Cricetulus griseus: one gene and its partners. The protein of the gene in region 3 interacts with the protein of the main gene of each other region in a pairwise test. Links are inferred from orthologs where the notes say so. Each region holds a gene or a part of one and is shown on either strand. Other genes may lie near its edges.

Region 1 (5,251 bases), on a different chromosome or scaffold from region 3:
AAAGCCACTACTTTGTTAACTAACTCAAAAAATATATAAAGTGGCCCCCAACATATCTTACAGTTGTATTACTCTGACAGAGGAGCTGAATTCCATTTTCAGCACCCATGATGGGTGGATTTACACCCACCTTTAACTCCAGCTTCAGGGAATTCAACACTCTTTTCTTTCTTCCACAGGCACCTGCACTTACATGTTCATGCCCGCACACAGACACACATGTACATGTACTTAAAAAATAAAATCTTAGAGACAGACAGACAGACAGACAGACAGACAGACAGACAGACAGACACACAAACACAGAGAGACCGGGGATTCTGAACATAGGTACCCTGTATGAGTGGATGTTTCCCTTAGAAGACATAGATTATGAAGTGAAAATCTCAGTGCCAGGTGTGGGAAAACTCCCTATGAGAGTTATAAGTCAGGGAGGCCCCCAGACAAGAAGCTTCACCATTGCCCATCATAACGGAAGCCCCATTGCTGATGACACACATTTTGGTTACCGGACACAGAGAAATCAAACTGAGTTGACATACAAAATTCCCGCCTTCTGGCCAGCTTTCACAGTGTCAGAAGGTTACGTAGGTTGTGTGAGGAGGAAAATTACTAATATTGACCAAAAAAGCAAGATAGTCCCACATCTGGTACAATAGTGATGTGAAGATTATGAGGTTAACCCACTGCTTTCTGACTGGACTTGAGGCCTGCTCCACAGAAGGGAATTCCTATCTGGTACTGTAAAGCTGAAAACCCGTGGCTGGCGAGGTCATAGGCCATGGGGGACAGGGAGACCTATTACTGTTGTTTTGCTAAGCAGACATGTGATTTTTAGGTTGTATCTATAATTAATACTATATCATGTAAATATTTAGGTTATATCTATAGATTCACACACTCTCAGCCTTGGTCATAGAGACTTCTTTTTACGGTGGCAGTAAATGTATCAACATAACTGGTCAAAGTGTGGAGAACAGGTAACTGCTGAGTGTTCAATCTTAAACAGAATATCTATTCCAACCTTCCCCCGCCTCTCCCCAAGTCTCCAAAGTTCAGGAACATTGTGGGAGATGGGGCAGAAAGGATGTAAAAGCATGGGAAGGGGAGGAGTGCTGTCAAATTCTGTCTTCTGGATATGGCACTCACGAATATACTCAAGTTATGGCTACCTGAACAAGACCTTTGAAAAGAGCAAGCCAATACCATTAGTCACCACTCCAGCAGCTACATCAACTAACTGGACTCAGTGAGTTACTGGATGTGGGAAGGGGCATGTTGGTGTGTGTGTGTGTGTGTGTGTGTGTGTGTGTGTGCTCGCGCTCGCGTGTGTATCTGCGGGATTTTGGGTAGGTATGATTACACTGTATGTGTATGAAACTGACAGAGAGTAAGTAAAAGACTTTTTAAAGGGGGGAAAAGGCTAAATGACAGCTCAGAAAAAAATGGCCGTCAACATTATGCTCCCCAGAGGCTACTTTATGAGTGACTGAAGTTTAAAGCTAAAGTATTAAAAGCTATTAGTATTTGCCAGGAATGGTCACCCATGTCTGCAATCCTAGCATGTGGGAAGTGGTGGCTGAAGGAGCATGAAGGAGTTCAAGATTGCCCTCAGCTACATATTGAGCTGGAGACCAGAATACCTCAACTTCCAACTCCAAAATTTTATGTTGACGTTTTGTTAAATGCTTTGGGTACTCATGAGCTTAATCAAACTAAGGGGAAACAATAAAGAATATGTAAGAAATGTGAACTTTTAGAAATTTAAAATATTTCACAAGGAAAAAAAATGACAAAATTTAAGCATACATGCAAAGAGTAAAAAACATAAGGAAACAACTTTAAAAGCTATTTGAGGTAATGCAGCAACCTACAGACTGTCAGACTCTGACACCCACTAGTTTTTGGTGTGTTTTTATTTTTGTGGTTACTTATTTATTTGAGATAGGGGATGATGTAGGCTTGGCAAGCCTGAAACTCCCTCTGGAGCTGAAGATGACCTTGAATTCTGATCCACCTGTTTTCATCTGCCAAAAGCTGGGGTGAAGGGTTCCAGCCCTCAAGAACACAAGTCTGATGTACCATATCCTTAGTCATGGGAACTATAAGGTCGTGCATTTTAAATGCTGGGAGATAGATTCTCAAAGTCTGCTCTTTCTCCCTGAAGGGAGGCACAATGCTCCCCTGGTTTCAGAACTTCGGTAAAGTTCCTTCAAACTTGTATGATTCATAAGAGTGGCAAAAGGCTAGAATCCCAGTTTTCTCACCCGTTCGTGAAGTGCTTTTCCTACTTATACCATCCAGCTCAAGGAACCATGGAGAGAGACAGTGAGGCAAGATGACAGTTCAGGCTCGCTAGCCCAAGAAGGTGGAAAGTAGGTTCTCTAAAGGTCTTGTTGCTTCCTCAAGCCAGTTTACTCCCGCGTGAGCTTGGCTTCCTTACCTGCATCTGACTTAAGAGCATCATGGCCCACCCACTTTAGTGTCAGGTCCTCGGAGGCTTGTTGCAAGCTAGGTAACCCACCGTCCCACCCTCCAGTTCAGCAAAGACGTGTCCATAACTTCAACCCCAGCTTGGCACTCACTCCCTTCCTCGGAGTTCCGTGACTCTACTACCGCTCACAGCCACTTAACTCCTTCCAATGCACAAACGTAGCATTTGGCACTGCAACCAACTCCTGCTCTTGTGGGCACTCTGGCTCCGCAGGGCCAGCCCGGCCCTCACTGCCCCTCCGTCCCTCGGCTCGGCAGTGCCGCTCCCTCACTGCCCCCTCCTCGATGCCACCCGCGTCCTTCTCAGCAAAGGCCGCCCCTCGGGCCCCGTGCCGCGCGGAGCCCCTTCCTCACCCGGCCATCACAGCCCCGATGAGGTACAGCAGCAACAGGCAGAAGGTGCTTAGGTTCTGCGGGGCCATGGTGTCGCCTGGTCCCGCACTCTCAGCCTCCCGTGCCGCTGCGTCTGCTGACCAGCCCTTCCGGCCCTGAGAGGCCGCCTCACGCCCGGGTCTCTTGCCGGGCCGCCGAGACAGCTAGCGCGCCCCCTCCTCAGCTGCCACTTTCCGGGAGCCCCAGAGCCGGCGAGCAGCCAGGCATGGGCCAATCGCCGCCGGGGACATCACACGCGGCCGCCACTCCGCAGCCAATCAGCGCGGTACACTTCACCTCCGAGGCGGCTCGGACAGCCAGTCAGACAACGGAACTGCCGCCGCTGCTGCCGGCCAATGGGAAGAGGAAACGTCAGAGGTTCGCGCCGCCCGGAAGTGCCTGCGAATAGGAGAAAATCTCAGGCGGAGGGGAGCGCGCTGCGAGGAAACCCGAGTGGTCCACCAATCGGGAGACTCCTTCCCAGCTCTGACCAATTGCTCGCAAGAGGTCTTAACTCGGTTTTCCAGTCTGGAAACTACGTCGCGTGCGCCCGGGACGCGCGGGATCCCTGAGGTGCAACCCCAGGAGGGTGGGCGATCACTCGGTGTCAGAGTACTTGGGGCGCCTTACCTAAGGATGCGATCTCACAGTACAAATTTAGTACATATAGTCTCGATTTCGTAGAAAAGAGGCCCGGTACCTTATAGAGAAGCCGCCGCGGAGACCGACTTAAGTTCAGATTCGGCTTCCAGCACTTCGCAGCGGTGAGACATCCCCACCCCCACCCCGCTTCCGAACCCGTTTTCGACAAAACTTAAGGCGTGGCGGCGTTCACTGGTAGTGTTGGGAATTTTTAATTGACATGTTTTCTGTAAGTTTTCCAGTAGAGTTGCACATAGTAAGCATGCAATCAATAAAAGCCGTTATTATAGTTCGGAGCAGAGCTTGTTCGTTGGTTCTTTTCTCCAGTTTTGTTAACTACAGAAAGCTAGTTGTTTAGCAAAGCCTCTCCTCTTAGCTTTGCTTCCTACATGAGCTATCTAGATCTTTACCAATGAACGGTATCTTGATTATGTCCAGTACAGCTCCATCTCTGGCCCAAGTCACAATTATCTCTTGCTTGCAAAGGTCTCTTAACGATCTTCTCCCTCCAAACTTTATATATCGATCCATTATTTTAATGTACTCCTACTCTCCACCCCATGATCGTGTGCATGCGTGAGCGCACTAGGGACCTGGAGACCACAGATTAGACTAGGCAGGTGGACTTGGAAGACCAAGGTCCTGTCTCTGTCTCCCCAGCTCTGGGGTTTCAGGCGGTTGTTGCCGCAGTTGCTGCTATGCGTGGAATTCAAGGTCTCCTGTTTATACAGCAAGTAAGTGGCAAGCTTTATGGACTGAACTATCTCCCCAGCGTCCTCGTGATTTTTAAAAAGTATTTCAGATCATGTCACTCTCCTGCTTAAAAGCCTCTAATGGCTTTTCAATGTACTAAAAGTAAAATGTCAACTCTATTGTAACTTACAAAGCTGTCTAGTTTAACAATCAGTATCCTCACCTCTTAAAATGTTCCAGAATAATCAGCTTCCTTCCTCCTTTTAAAAAATTTTCATTGTATATATTCATTGCATACGGCACTTTCTTGCATCAGCAAATTATGTACACGGAGCATATTCCTCCTCTTACCATATACCCTCCTACCTTTTTCTCTCTGTTCTGTTATCCCCTTCGTTTCTCTACAGTTCTGCCTCTACTTTCATGCCATATATATATATACGTATGTAATTTTAAGTACCTATATAAAATCTAGGAACCAAAACGAAAGAAAACATGTATCTGTCTCTCTGAGATTGGCTTAATTCCCTTAAGATGAATATTTCCAGCTGTATCCATTTTCCTGTAGACAGCATAACTGTATTCTTTATGTTGGAAAAAAGATCATTGTGTACATAAACTAAACTAGGTTAGTTCTGTAACTTAGCTATTGTGAATAGTGCTGGAACAAATATGGATGTTTTATCAAAACCTTTTTCTGCATTAATGAAAAAAGGCTTATTTTTCTGTGCATGGGTTCTTTGCCTGCATGTAAGCCAGTGCATGCCCGTTGCTCAAGGAGGCCAAAAGAGGTTGGAGGATCCCCTGGAACTGGAGTTGCAGATGGATGTGAGCAGCCATTTTGGTGCTCGAAATCAAATCCAGGTCTTACAGAAGAACAGTAAATGTTCTTAACCTCTGAGCCATCTCTGCAGCCTGGCTCGAAAGTGTTGTATTGAGAATTTTTACATCGTGTTCATTAGGGAGATATATCTATAATTTTGTTTCTTTGTAGTATCTTTATCTGGTACTAGTAGTAGGGCAAACTGATTTTATTTCTAAAAAGTTATTT
Region 2 (5,042 bases), on a different chromosome or scaffold from region 3:
TGAGCTGTGTATCTATCGCTCCAGTCCTTGTCCTTAGTCAGGTTAAATTCATTTGGATTACCAGAAGGTATCAACTAACAGGACTGATAACTATTGTGTATCCTAGATTGTGGGTCAAGAGCAACTGGGTTAACAATGCACATGACCAGCTAACAAGCAGCACCCTTTATGTTGCTTTCTCCAGCCTGTTCTGGGTACTTCTAAAAATGGCCTTAGAAATATCTGCGGCAGGCGTTGGTGGAGCACGCCTTTAGTCCCAGCACTTGGGAGGCAGAGGCAGGCAGATTTCTGCGAGTTCGAGGCCACCCTGGTCTCCAAAGGAGTGCCAGGATAGGCTCCAAAGCTACACAGAAAACCCTGTATCGAAACACCCCCCCAAAAAAGTAAATGACATAAAAAATAAAAAGAACGAAATAACATCTGCTTACTTTGAAATGACTGGTTTGATGGGCTACTTAATTTAAAGTTGGGTAAGATATGCTTGAGAGTAGTTTAGAGACTAAGATGAGGGTATTTTGTACATTTACAGACTTGGACCATTATTCTCTAAGTTTGTATACACACTAAAAACAGTGCACTCAGAAACACTGGAACCTGAGCAGACTTTACACAGAACACATTGTTTATTGTCAAAGTAACAAAATGTGTCCCAGGTGGACCTCAAATTAAAAATGGCCAACAACACCCAAACCCAGAGAAACTATGTCTGGAAAAACCAGGAAGAAAAGATGGGGGCAACAATCATTCCAATTTCCTAGTGTATTCACTTACATGAGAATGACTCACCTCATATGTTAAAATTTTCTTCCAAGGTAAGGGTTTTCTTCCATTTTCAGATTCTAAGAATGGAAACACAGCTCCTTTGTTTTTAATTTGCTTCACACCTATCTGTGACCTTCTAGGGTTTCTAGCATTTTTTATTCCAGGTGGTCTTCCTCTTGGTCTTAATTTTGGCTTGTATTTCCTTTTTTTCCGTTTCTTTTTCTTAAATCTTTCAAAAATAGCCTTTAAAGTCAAAAGCCTTGGTTCTATAGAGGAGTCACTTGATGTGTCAGTGTCAACATTTGCAGGTAAAGTGACACGTTTTGTCGTAGGGTTTCTTTGCTTTCGTGTAGGTGAAAGAACGTACTGTGTTTTAAATAAGCTATCAGATGAGTCATCGCTAAAAAAATAAAATAAAATAAACTGCATCACTGAGTCGTTACTAGAAACAATCCAATTCACGAGTGGCAAGGCTGTACCCTCAGGCAGCATGGTCATTAGTAACTCAAGTTTCATGGAGTTCAACACCCTCTTCTGAACACATGATACTGACTGTAGGCAAAGCACTCACTCATAAGTCACATAAGAGAAGACATTAAAAATTTAAGTGTACATTTCTTCCAAAGCCAGCTCCCCCAAAATCATACCCAACATTTTCAAATGGGTGTGGTGATAAGCCTTTAATTCCAGCTCTTGGGAGAAATAGGCAGGATCATCTTTGAATGAGGCCACCTACTGAGACCTGTCAATCTGAACAGTTAGACTCAACTCTAGGGTGTTTAGTCACAAAAGCTGCCTTACCTTTGATGTCCAATGTCTGCAGCTCTATCAGGTGTCATGCAGTCAACAGAAGTCACTTCTGATTGAGCCATTACTCGATCTCTGCAATTACAATTTCAGTGTGATGCACCTAGCATTCTAATGAAAAGTTCAACATACACCATACCACCATGTGACTTTAGGTAAAATCGACCTAAGGATAGTCCACTTTAGATCTTTAAAAACATCCAAGTGAGCCAGCTGTTGGTGGTGCACGCCTTTAATCCCAGCCATTTGGGAGGCAGAGGCAGGCAGACCTGTGAGTTCCAGGTTAGTTTCAGGACAGGCTCTAATTCAATATAGAAAAACCTTGTCTTAAAAAAAAAAATATCCACGTGAGGAGCACAGCAGTTAAAGTGTAACCTTCCACAGTTCAGTTCCCAGCACTCACATTGGGTAGCTCACAACTTCAACATGGCATGTTTCTGGCTTCCTGGATACCCACACATTCAATTCTAATCTACAAGTGAAAGCAAAGGAGAGACCACTTTCCAAATCAGTGTTTTCTAATTCTACTTAACAAAAGTACCTGAGTGGCTTTACTACCAGCCAGCCACACAGTGAAACAGCATTAATTCGGATGTTTACCCTAGGAAGGCTGAATTTTTAGCCACTCAGTGTGTATGCCTCAATTTCCCGAATGGCCAATGGGCCTGTAATCCCAACAATAGAACCTCTAGGGTGAGTCAGCTGAAGAGATGGCTTAGCTTTAAGAATACTGACTGCTCTTGAGTGGACAGATTAAATTCCCAGCACCCACAAGGCAGCTTTAAAGGGGCCGCAACTGGCCAGGTGGTGGTGCGCGCCTTTAACCCCAGGAGGTAGAGGCAGGCGGGGCCTCGAACTCAAGATCCGCCTTCCTCCTGAGTGCTGTAATTAAAGAAATGCACCACCACCTCCCGGGTTATTAACTTTTTTCCTTTAAAAGGGGACTTATTTTACGGATAGTGCATTGGTTTCACCCATACCAGAAATAGGAACCAGAGCCCATTACAAATGGTTGTGAACTACCACGTGGCTGCTAGGAATTGAACCCACGTCCCCTGATAGAGCAGCTGGTGCTCTTAGCTGTAGAGCCATTTCTCCATTCCCCATTGTTTTTTAGTATTAGCCCATCAAAATTGCAACGTAACATACTTGGCCCGTTTGCACCAACGATAGAGCGGAGAAAATTCTAAGGGTAATGGCCAAGTACACACGAGGAACCTATCTAGAAATCAGTCCTACCTGTGCGGTCTTCTCGACCTAGGAAGGCAGCACCAGCACAATGCCCCGACGGGACACTCTAAAACCTTCCGGCAGCGACCGATAGCGACCGGGAGCCACGCGTGGCCCGCTGCGCCTCACCCGACAACAGCGCCGACTGCGCGCGGACAGCCGCCCAAAGAGCCCGGGCCCGCGCGCGGTCTCCGAGTCCCGCACCGACCGATCGCGCCAGACCCGAGCGCCCAACGCAAACACACCCGTCTCCCTCCTCCACCGCGACCAAAAGAACGTTCCAGCTCGCAGCAGCCGACTAGGGCAGGCCGAGATCTCGCGTGAGCTCTTAGCGGCGGGTGGGTACGAGAGCGCGGCTACGTGCTAGGCGTGGCTATGTGCGTGGACTGTGGAGTGGGCGGGGCCTCCGCGAGAGGCGGTACCGGGCTCGCCCCTAGGCTTTGAGCTGGCGGAAGGGAGCAGGACGTTGAACTTGGGTAGGTGAAGGGAAGAAGGCATTCCTGCAGGCGTGAAGACACTGCGGGTCAGGTGAGCGTCCGCATGTTGTGGGGCCGAGCCCACTGTGTGCGGAGTTCCCCCTCAGAGGAAGGGTGCCAGGTGCTTTGGGCACCCCACCCTTCAGGAGTTAGCTTCCAGCAGGCATGGGCTTCCTCCTTCAGATCCTGAGTTGACTCAACAGTGTAGGGCTAAACAGTTTTTAGCCCTACAGTACTTTCTTTTCAGTAGTGAGCTGCTTTGAGTTATTTTCCATGCTGCACCTTTGTATTGTATGACAAGCAAGCCAGCAGATCTGCTTGCCCTTAGTCAACAGTTGTTATCATTTATGATTGGACACGCCTTAAAAGTAAGGTCTTGCTGTACTTGCAAGCAGCCAGTGCATTCGCTGTAAGCTCTAAGACAGGCATCTCAGACTGTCACATTCAGGACCAGTGCAAACTTAAATTGCAGGGTCCTGTTCAAAACGAAAGTGACAAATAGCTGAGAACTGTGGCAAATCGCAGAACTGGAGAGTCTGAAGGAGGATTGCCAGGCCAGCCTAGACTATGTTTTCCCCATAAGTAAGGAAAATTTAGAATTATTAATACAAGTTTTACCATCTTTATGTTGTGTACTGCCAGGCGGTGGTGACTCATGCCCTTAATCCCAGCACTGGGTGTAAGGATCAGGCATTATGCTGGCCTGCCTCTTCCTAATAAAACTTCATTTAAGCTGTCTGCCTGGAATGTTTGTCCCTTGGCCTCGGTCAACCTCGCCCGCCATGAAACCTGCCAAGGTTCACCTCACTCTTTATCCTAACACTCTGGAGGCAGAGGCAGGCGAATCTCTGTGAGTTGGAGGCCAGCACAAGCTACACAGAGAAACCCTGTCTCAAAAAACCAAAAATAAAAAAATAAAAAAACCTTAATGAGCTTCTAGGCCTTTAATCCCAGCACTTGGGAGGCAGAGGCAGGCAGATATCAATGAGTCAAGGCCAATCTGGTCTACAGAGTGAGTTCCAGGAAACTGTCTTGAAAAAAGAAAAGAACTTAATGAGCAGAATTGTTGTGGGGCGTTCACCAGAGAAGAGTGTTCAGACATAGGTTAAAAGCCAATAGAAAAACTTTATTAGCCAGCCAGCAACCAACTGAGTGTTCGGGATCCCAGTGTAGCCCTAAGCCTTTCTCAGGGTGAGCTTATAAGCACAAAAATCCTGTCATGATTTGACCCACTCCAGTTAACATAACATCTAACCAAGCAGAACTATAAAAGCTAAAAAGCAAGGTTAGTACATTTAGAAACTGCCTCAGAGCTATGGATTTGGATTAGGCTTTTGTTTTAGTTTTGGCAGGTGGAGTTTTACAGCCTTAATGGCACTTCCATCGTGGAGTCAGTCAGTTGTACTAAGGTCTTAGGGCCTACTAAGATCATAAGGCCCAGTTGCAGAATCACTGCAGTTTGGATTTCTGCTTACTAACTTGTATAAGTTATGTATTTGTTACTGTATCTGAAACAATGTACCAAATTAACTTACTTGCTTTCCTTTTACTTCCTGATCTTTGCACATTTTGCCTGTAATCTGGAATTCTGCAGTACTGACTATCTGTGGACTCCCAAATATGGCAAGTCTACCAGGATTAAGTTCTAATGGGACATTAAAAACACTTTAGGCCTGGTGGTGGTGCACACCTTCATTCCCAGCACTCAAGAGGCAGGGGCAGGCCAACCTCTGAGTTCCAGGCTAACCAGAGTTACACAGAAAAACA
Region 3 (4,987 bases):
TGGTGACTGTCTTCTGGCAGTCAGCATTGTGAAGAGCTCGTTTCAGACTTCCAGTCCTGGTCTTCAAGGCAGTATTCAGGTCACATTCTCCCCAAGCCTGGAACTGGTATTTGCACTCAGCTAAAAAGCATAACAAATTGGAAGAACAATGCTTATGAGAGCTTATTGTAGTGATAATAAGGGCACAATTTTGATGTTACATTTTTGTATTTAAGCCATCACATATTCCTATGCAGTTATAAGAATAACACGGGGGCATTCCATACATGCTTCCCCCAATTTCCCCAATTTTGGCATCTTGAACAACTGTGGGCCTATCTTATAAAATGGAAATTATGAATTCCAAGAGTGGAGTCAGATTTCAGTTTTATATGCATGAACGCATATAGTTCTGTGTATATGCATGGACATGTATAGTTCTAGCCATGTGAATGCATGTAATCAGCACCATTAATGTACATATCATCCCAATGCCAGGGTCCCATTGTCACCTTACATACAGTCACAGCCTTCCTACCTCTTAAGTTACCTACAACCACAAATCTTCTTCAGCTCAATTCATTCTATAAATGAGATTTTAAACTATGTAAACTTTTGTGATTGGCTACTCTCGTGCCCACAGAAATTAGGAGATGGTGTATGATCCTCTTGAACTGGAATGATGGGTGTGAGGAACCTAACCCAGGTCCACTGCACGAAAAGCAGGTGTTCCTAACAACTGAGCCATCTCTATGGCTCTGAGACTGGCTACTTCCTTACTTACCATAAATTTGTGACTATCAACTCACGTTGTGTAAATCAATATTGTATGTTTTTGTACAACTGAGTAACCATCCACGATATAGATATCCCAAACTTTATTTATCCATCGCCAACTAAAAGATGCCTGTATTGCTTTATTTTGGCTAATTTATATACATACAAATGCAAATTCTATTTATTCATATAAGGTGTTCTGTGAAAACATTTTATTTTCTCTGGAAGAAAAACGCCCAAGAAACTGCTGAGTTACATGGTAAGGTCAACTCATGTTTAATTTCATACAAACATAAAACAAGCAACCTCTCCAAAAAGTAGTATCTTTTTTAGTATTGCTGTGCCATTTTCTATTTCTACTGACAGTAACTACATAACCTAGTGTCTCTGCATCTTCACTGCCAGGGGTATCATAATGTTTTTATTCCAGGCATTCTGATGGGTACATAGCAACATGTCACCAGGGTTTCAATCTCTCTTCCCTTAATGGGACAGAGAAATTGAGTATCTTTCCAGGTGTCTATTTATTATTATCTATTCTCCTCATAAATTATGTCTGTTGGTATTTATTCACTATCTTCCTGGATTGTTAGGGTTGTATGTTTGCTTGTTTGTTTTGATTCTATATTGATTCTTGAGATTTTTATACATGTTCATGACAGGAGTCCTTTAAGAAACTTTTGTTTTTTTGGTTTTTCGAGACAAGGTTTCTCTGTGTAGCTTTGGAGCCTATCCTGGCACTCACTCTGGAGACCAGGCTGGCCTCAAACTCACAGCGATCAGTCTGCCTCTACCTCCCATGTGCTGGGATCAAAGGCTTGTGCCACCAATGCCCTGCCTCACAAACTTTTTTTAAGTGAGTCTTAACCATACCCCATACTATTTAAAGTCTAATTTATATGACTCTGTTGTCATTTTGGCTATCAAATGACATTTTCTCAGTTTTCCTGGCTGGTAGAGTAGGTTGTATTAAAATATGGTTGAAAATATAATGGTAGATGACAAGGATGTTACTAATTACCCTAAAATGTACAAGACAAAAACAACAAAAATCCAGCCCCTGATATCACTAGTGCTGAATCTAAGAGGAAAGCTGGCTGGTCACCGTGTGTCTAAGAAAATATATTTATTTAATTTAATATAAACATGAGTTGGCTTTGAAAATGAATTTGATAGAATTGTTCCAAAAGTATTTCAGAATAGTAGATTAAAGCAATAAGAACACAGGGTGAGACTGACCTCCAAACTGCTTCTTCCAGTTGCAAGGGATCTTACATCTCTGGGTCTTCATGGTTTGCTTGCACTCAGCACCAGTGCGAGTGCCCTCCCGGGTGCCCAGTCCACAGTCCCCGCTGGTGGGCACACACACACTCCACTGCCATTCTCCACAGTCAGATTTTTTCACCTTTTTTTCTGCAAGGGAGGAAACAAAAAGCAACCACCGTCCAGAAATGTACTGAACTCTTGAATATGGCTAAGTTCACACCTCAGAACCTCGATTGTGGAGTCTATGACTTTTATCTCTATCTGTATTGTCCAGGAAGACAGTGGGATGTCTTCTCAATGATCCAGTCAATGCATGGTTAAGAGGAGAAAGAAAGAAAACATGGGGGCAGAGACGGAACTAATACTACTAAGTCATGTGTGTGATAGAGACTGTTCTACGTGAATCACTAATATTTCCTTTTAGAAAGATGTTTCTGAATGAAGGCGTTGTCCCTCTGCCTGCTCCCTGACCACCACAATATGAGCTATTCTGCCACGCGTGCCTGCAGTGACGGGCCCACACCTCTGAAACCCTAAGTGAAATAAAGCCATCTTCCTCTTAAATTCACTCCTCAAGTGTCTGAATGCAGCAACAAACAGCTAACACACTTGTGCCAGATGAAATTTGAAGATTTGTGTATCTTTGATGAAACATTTGAGAGTGTAAAATTTTACAAAAAGAAGGAAATATTTTTCATTTTTATTTTGTTTTGTTTTGTTGTTGTTGTTTGAGATGGGGTTTCTCTGTATTGCTTTGGAGACTCTTCTGGAACTCACTCTGTAAATCAAGCTGGACTCACAGAGATTCACCCGCCTCTGCCTCCTGAGTGCTGGGATTAAAGGCGTGTGCCACCAATGCCTGGCTAAGAAGGAAATATTTCTGTCAAAATAAAAAATTCTAAGTAGTTTATAAAAAGCTTGAAAAATGAGGAGGGAATGTCTATTAGAAGTAGTAGTGGTCAGACTAAAAATTTCATTGAAAATTGATGGTGTGGTTCTGTTCTGTGGGTAAAAAGGCATAATAGAAATGTGTATAGGACACAGACTAAAAGAGACCCCCAACACCACAGCCCACTCATGACTATCCAAGGGCATGTTCATTCGGGAGCAAAATGGGGCAATTTAGGGTTTCCCTAAATAATTGAAAGGATGTTAGAAACTGTGGGAGAACTATAAGCAGGTAGCTGGGCTGCCTGGGTACCATCCAAGGAAACATCTCTCTGTGACTCCACTGCTTACCGGGTTTCTCTTTCTTCCCAGCCTCAGCAGTGTCCACAGCTGCCAAGATGAAAATGAATGCCAAGAAAGCAGCTGCAAATTTTCGACGTTGCTGCTGGTACTGTTGGGATGACATTTCTGGAAATGAAGAGAACAAGAAGAAGGTGATTTCAACCTAAGTCAGGATGAAGATTCAACTCTCTGATGAAGCATGCTATGTGAAGCTTCTGGAACACTGGGTTTTAGGAAAACTGTATTGATTATTACAAAGTGTAATTTTATCCTTTCTCACCAACAGCTGCAAAAGCAGTAAATCACGTGGTCATGGGCAGAATTTAATCATTCTTCGTATCAGATTTCACAGCCATTTGTTATGTGTGACTCTGGGGTTGTGAAAGCAAGAGAACCACGTGGCATGATTTTGAGCAGATTCCTACAATCAATCCTGTTGCTTGCATCACTTGCTAATAACAACTACAGTCATCTTCAGGATGCCTGGAAGTTCCTAGAAACATTCATGGTGTTGCAGTCACAGTAATCTTCGGTACAGCCGTGACAAATGATAGTGTACAGTAGCTTGTGTGTACTGACTGTGTTTTTTATATTTAGGCATATCTACCAATGAGCAGCATTTCTGATTCTTATTTACCCATGTTCATTTTAAACATAGTATCATCCCATTGCTCATTAGAGTGAAACACAGAAATATAGAGCTGGCATGCTATAACACTAAGAATTCATAAATGGATTTTACTCAAGAACCACTAAATCCTCAGATCTGGAGAGCAGTGACTATACATGCTCAGAAATTGAAATACTGCTCATCTCACATAAGTCAAAATCCCTAGAAAACCCTAGGAAGATCCCTGTTATACTCAAAGATGCTGTGATAACCCTCCATCAAGATATTCACCTTGCCTAAGCTGCTCTGAAAAAGCCACTGATTGCAGAAACGTGGTTGATGGTCATTTACCTCCATCTGCTGTGTTAATGGTGTTGTATAGATCACACAAAAGTGTGCAAATAATCTTTGGTTATTATTAGTGTGAGCTGTATTCCTTTTTTCCAAAACTTGCAATAGATTAGCTTTTAATGATTTTACAATTTCTTTAGTAAATAATGAGACTACTCCTGTGTGTGTACTCATGTGTGCCTGGGGGTATAATATGTGTGTGTGAGTATGCACATGTATGTGCATGGGTATGCACATGTGTGTGCTGTGCTCCCTCTATTATGCATCTTGTTTTCCTAATTCATAAGTATCTAAAATATGATACCATGGTTACTAACTAATCTTGTATCAACTTCCACAATGTTAGAATTGTCACTTATTGGAGTTGTGTTTTGTTTTTCTATCAATGACTGGATTCTATAGTATGATTAAACATATTTTACCAACAAACTAAAATTAACATTTTTACCACTTTGCCCTTTAAAACATGAACCCTGCTTAATCAACACCAGTTCCATCCCCGGCAACAGTCCAGTATTAGAAGCTTTGCTCTCCCTAAAGCTGCATTCTTAGGACAGTCTCACTGAATTGCTCCATGCAAATCAGGTAGGTGACTCCTCCTCATCTTGTGATTAGAGGTAGGAAGCCAGCCTGGACTCGATGACTTGCAAGCTTGTCAGAGTTCCCAGAGATGAGCCCCCTGTGCACCTCTGGGATATACTTTTTCCGGGGACATTCAAACACCATTTTAAACGATTGGGCACAAAGTGAACCAGAGCCCTTGCTTCCCCCAAT

Evidence for each region. The genes of interacting proteins can lie anywhere in the genome.
Region 1: the proteins of Ptn (region 3) and Dnajb11 interact in a two-hybrid assay, tested with the Homo sapiens proteins (2 studies listed by BioGRID and IntAct). The link is inferred for Cricetulus griseus from reciprocal best matches to the Homo sapiens genes PTN and DNAJB11.
Region 2: the proteins of Ptn (region 3) and Taf1d interact in a two-hybrid assay, tested with the Homo sapiens proteins (2 studies listed by BioGRID and IntAct). The link is inferred for Cricetulus griseus from reciprocal best matches to the Homo sapiens genes PTN and TAF1D.

What each region holds. Positions count from the first base shown.
Region 1 is NC_048597.1:65,997,459-66,002,709, forward strand, and holds the start of Dnajb11 (dnaJ homolog subfamily B member 11), read right to left. Parts: upstream 3,099-5,251; 5' UTR 2,916-3,098; coding exon 2,848-2,915; intron 1-2,847. UniProt on the Homo sapiens protein: As a co-chaperone for HSPA5 it is required for proper folding, trafficking or degradation of proteins.
Region 2 is NC_048597.1:128,814,087-128,819,128, reverse strand, and holds the start of Taf1d (TATA box-binding protein-associated factor RNA polymerase I subunit D), read right to left. Parts: upstream 3,099-5,042; 5' UTR 2,809-3,098; intron 1,645-2,808; 5' UTR 1,635-1,644; coding exon 1,564-1,634; intron 1,163-1,563; coding exon 787-1,162; intron 1-786. UniProt on the Homo sapiens protein: Component of the transcription factor SL1/TIF-IB complex, which is involved in the assembly of the PIC (preinitiation complex) during RNA polymerase I-dependent transcription.
Region 3 is NW_023276806.1:191,420,509-191,425,495, reverse strand, and holds the start of Ptn (pleiotrophin), read right to left. Parts: upstream 3,377-4,987; coding exon 3,262-3,376; intron 2,170-3,261; coding exon 1,996-2,169; intron 121-1,995; coding exon 1-120.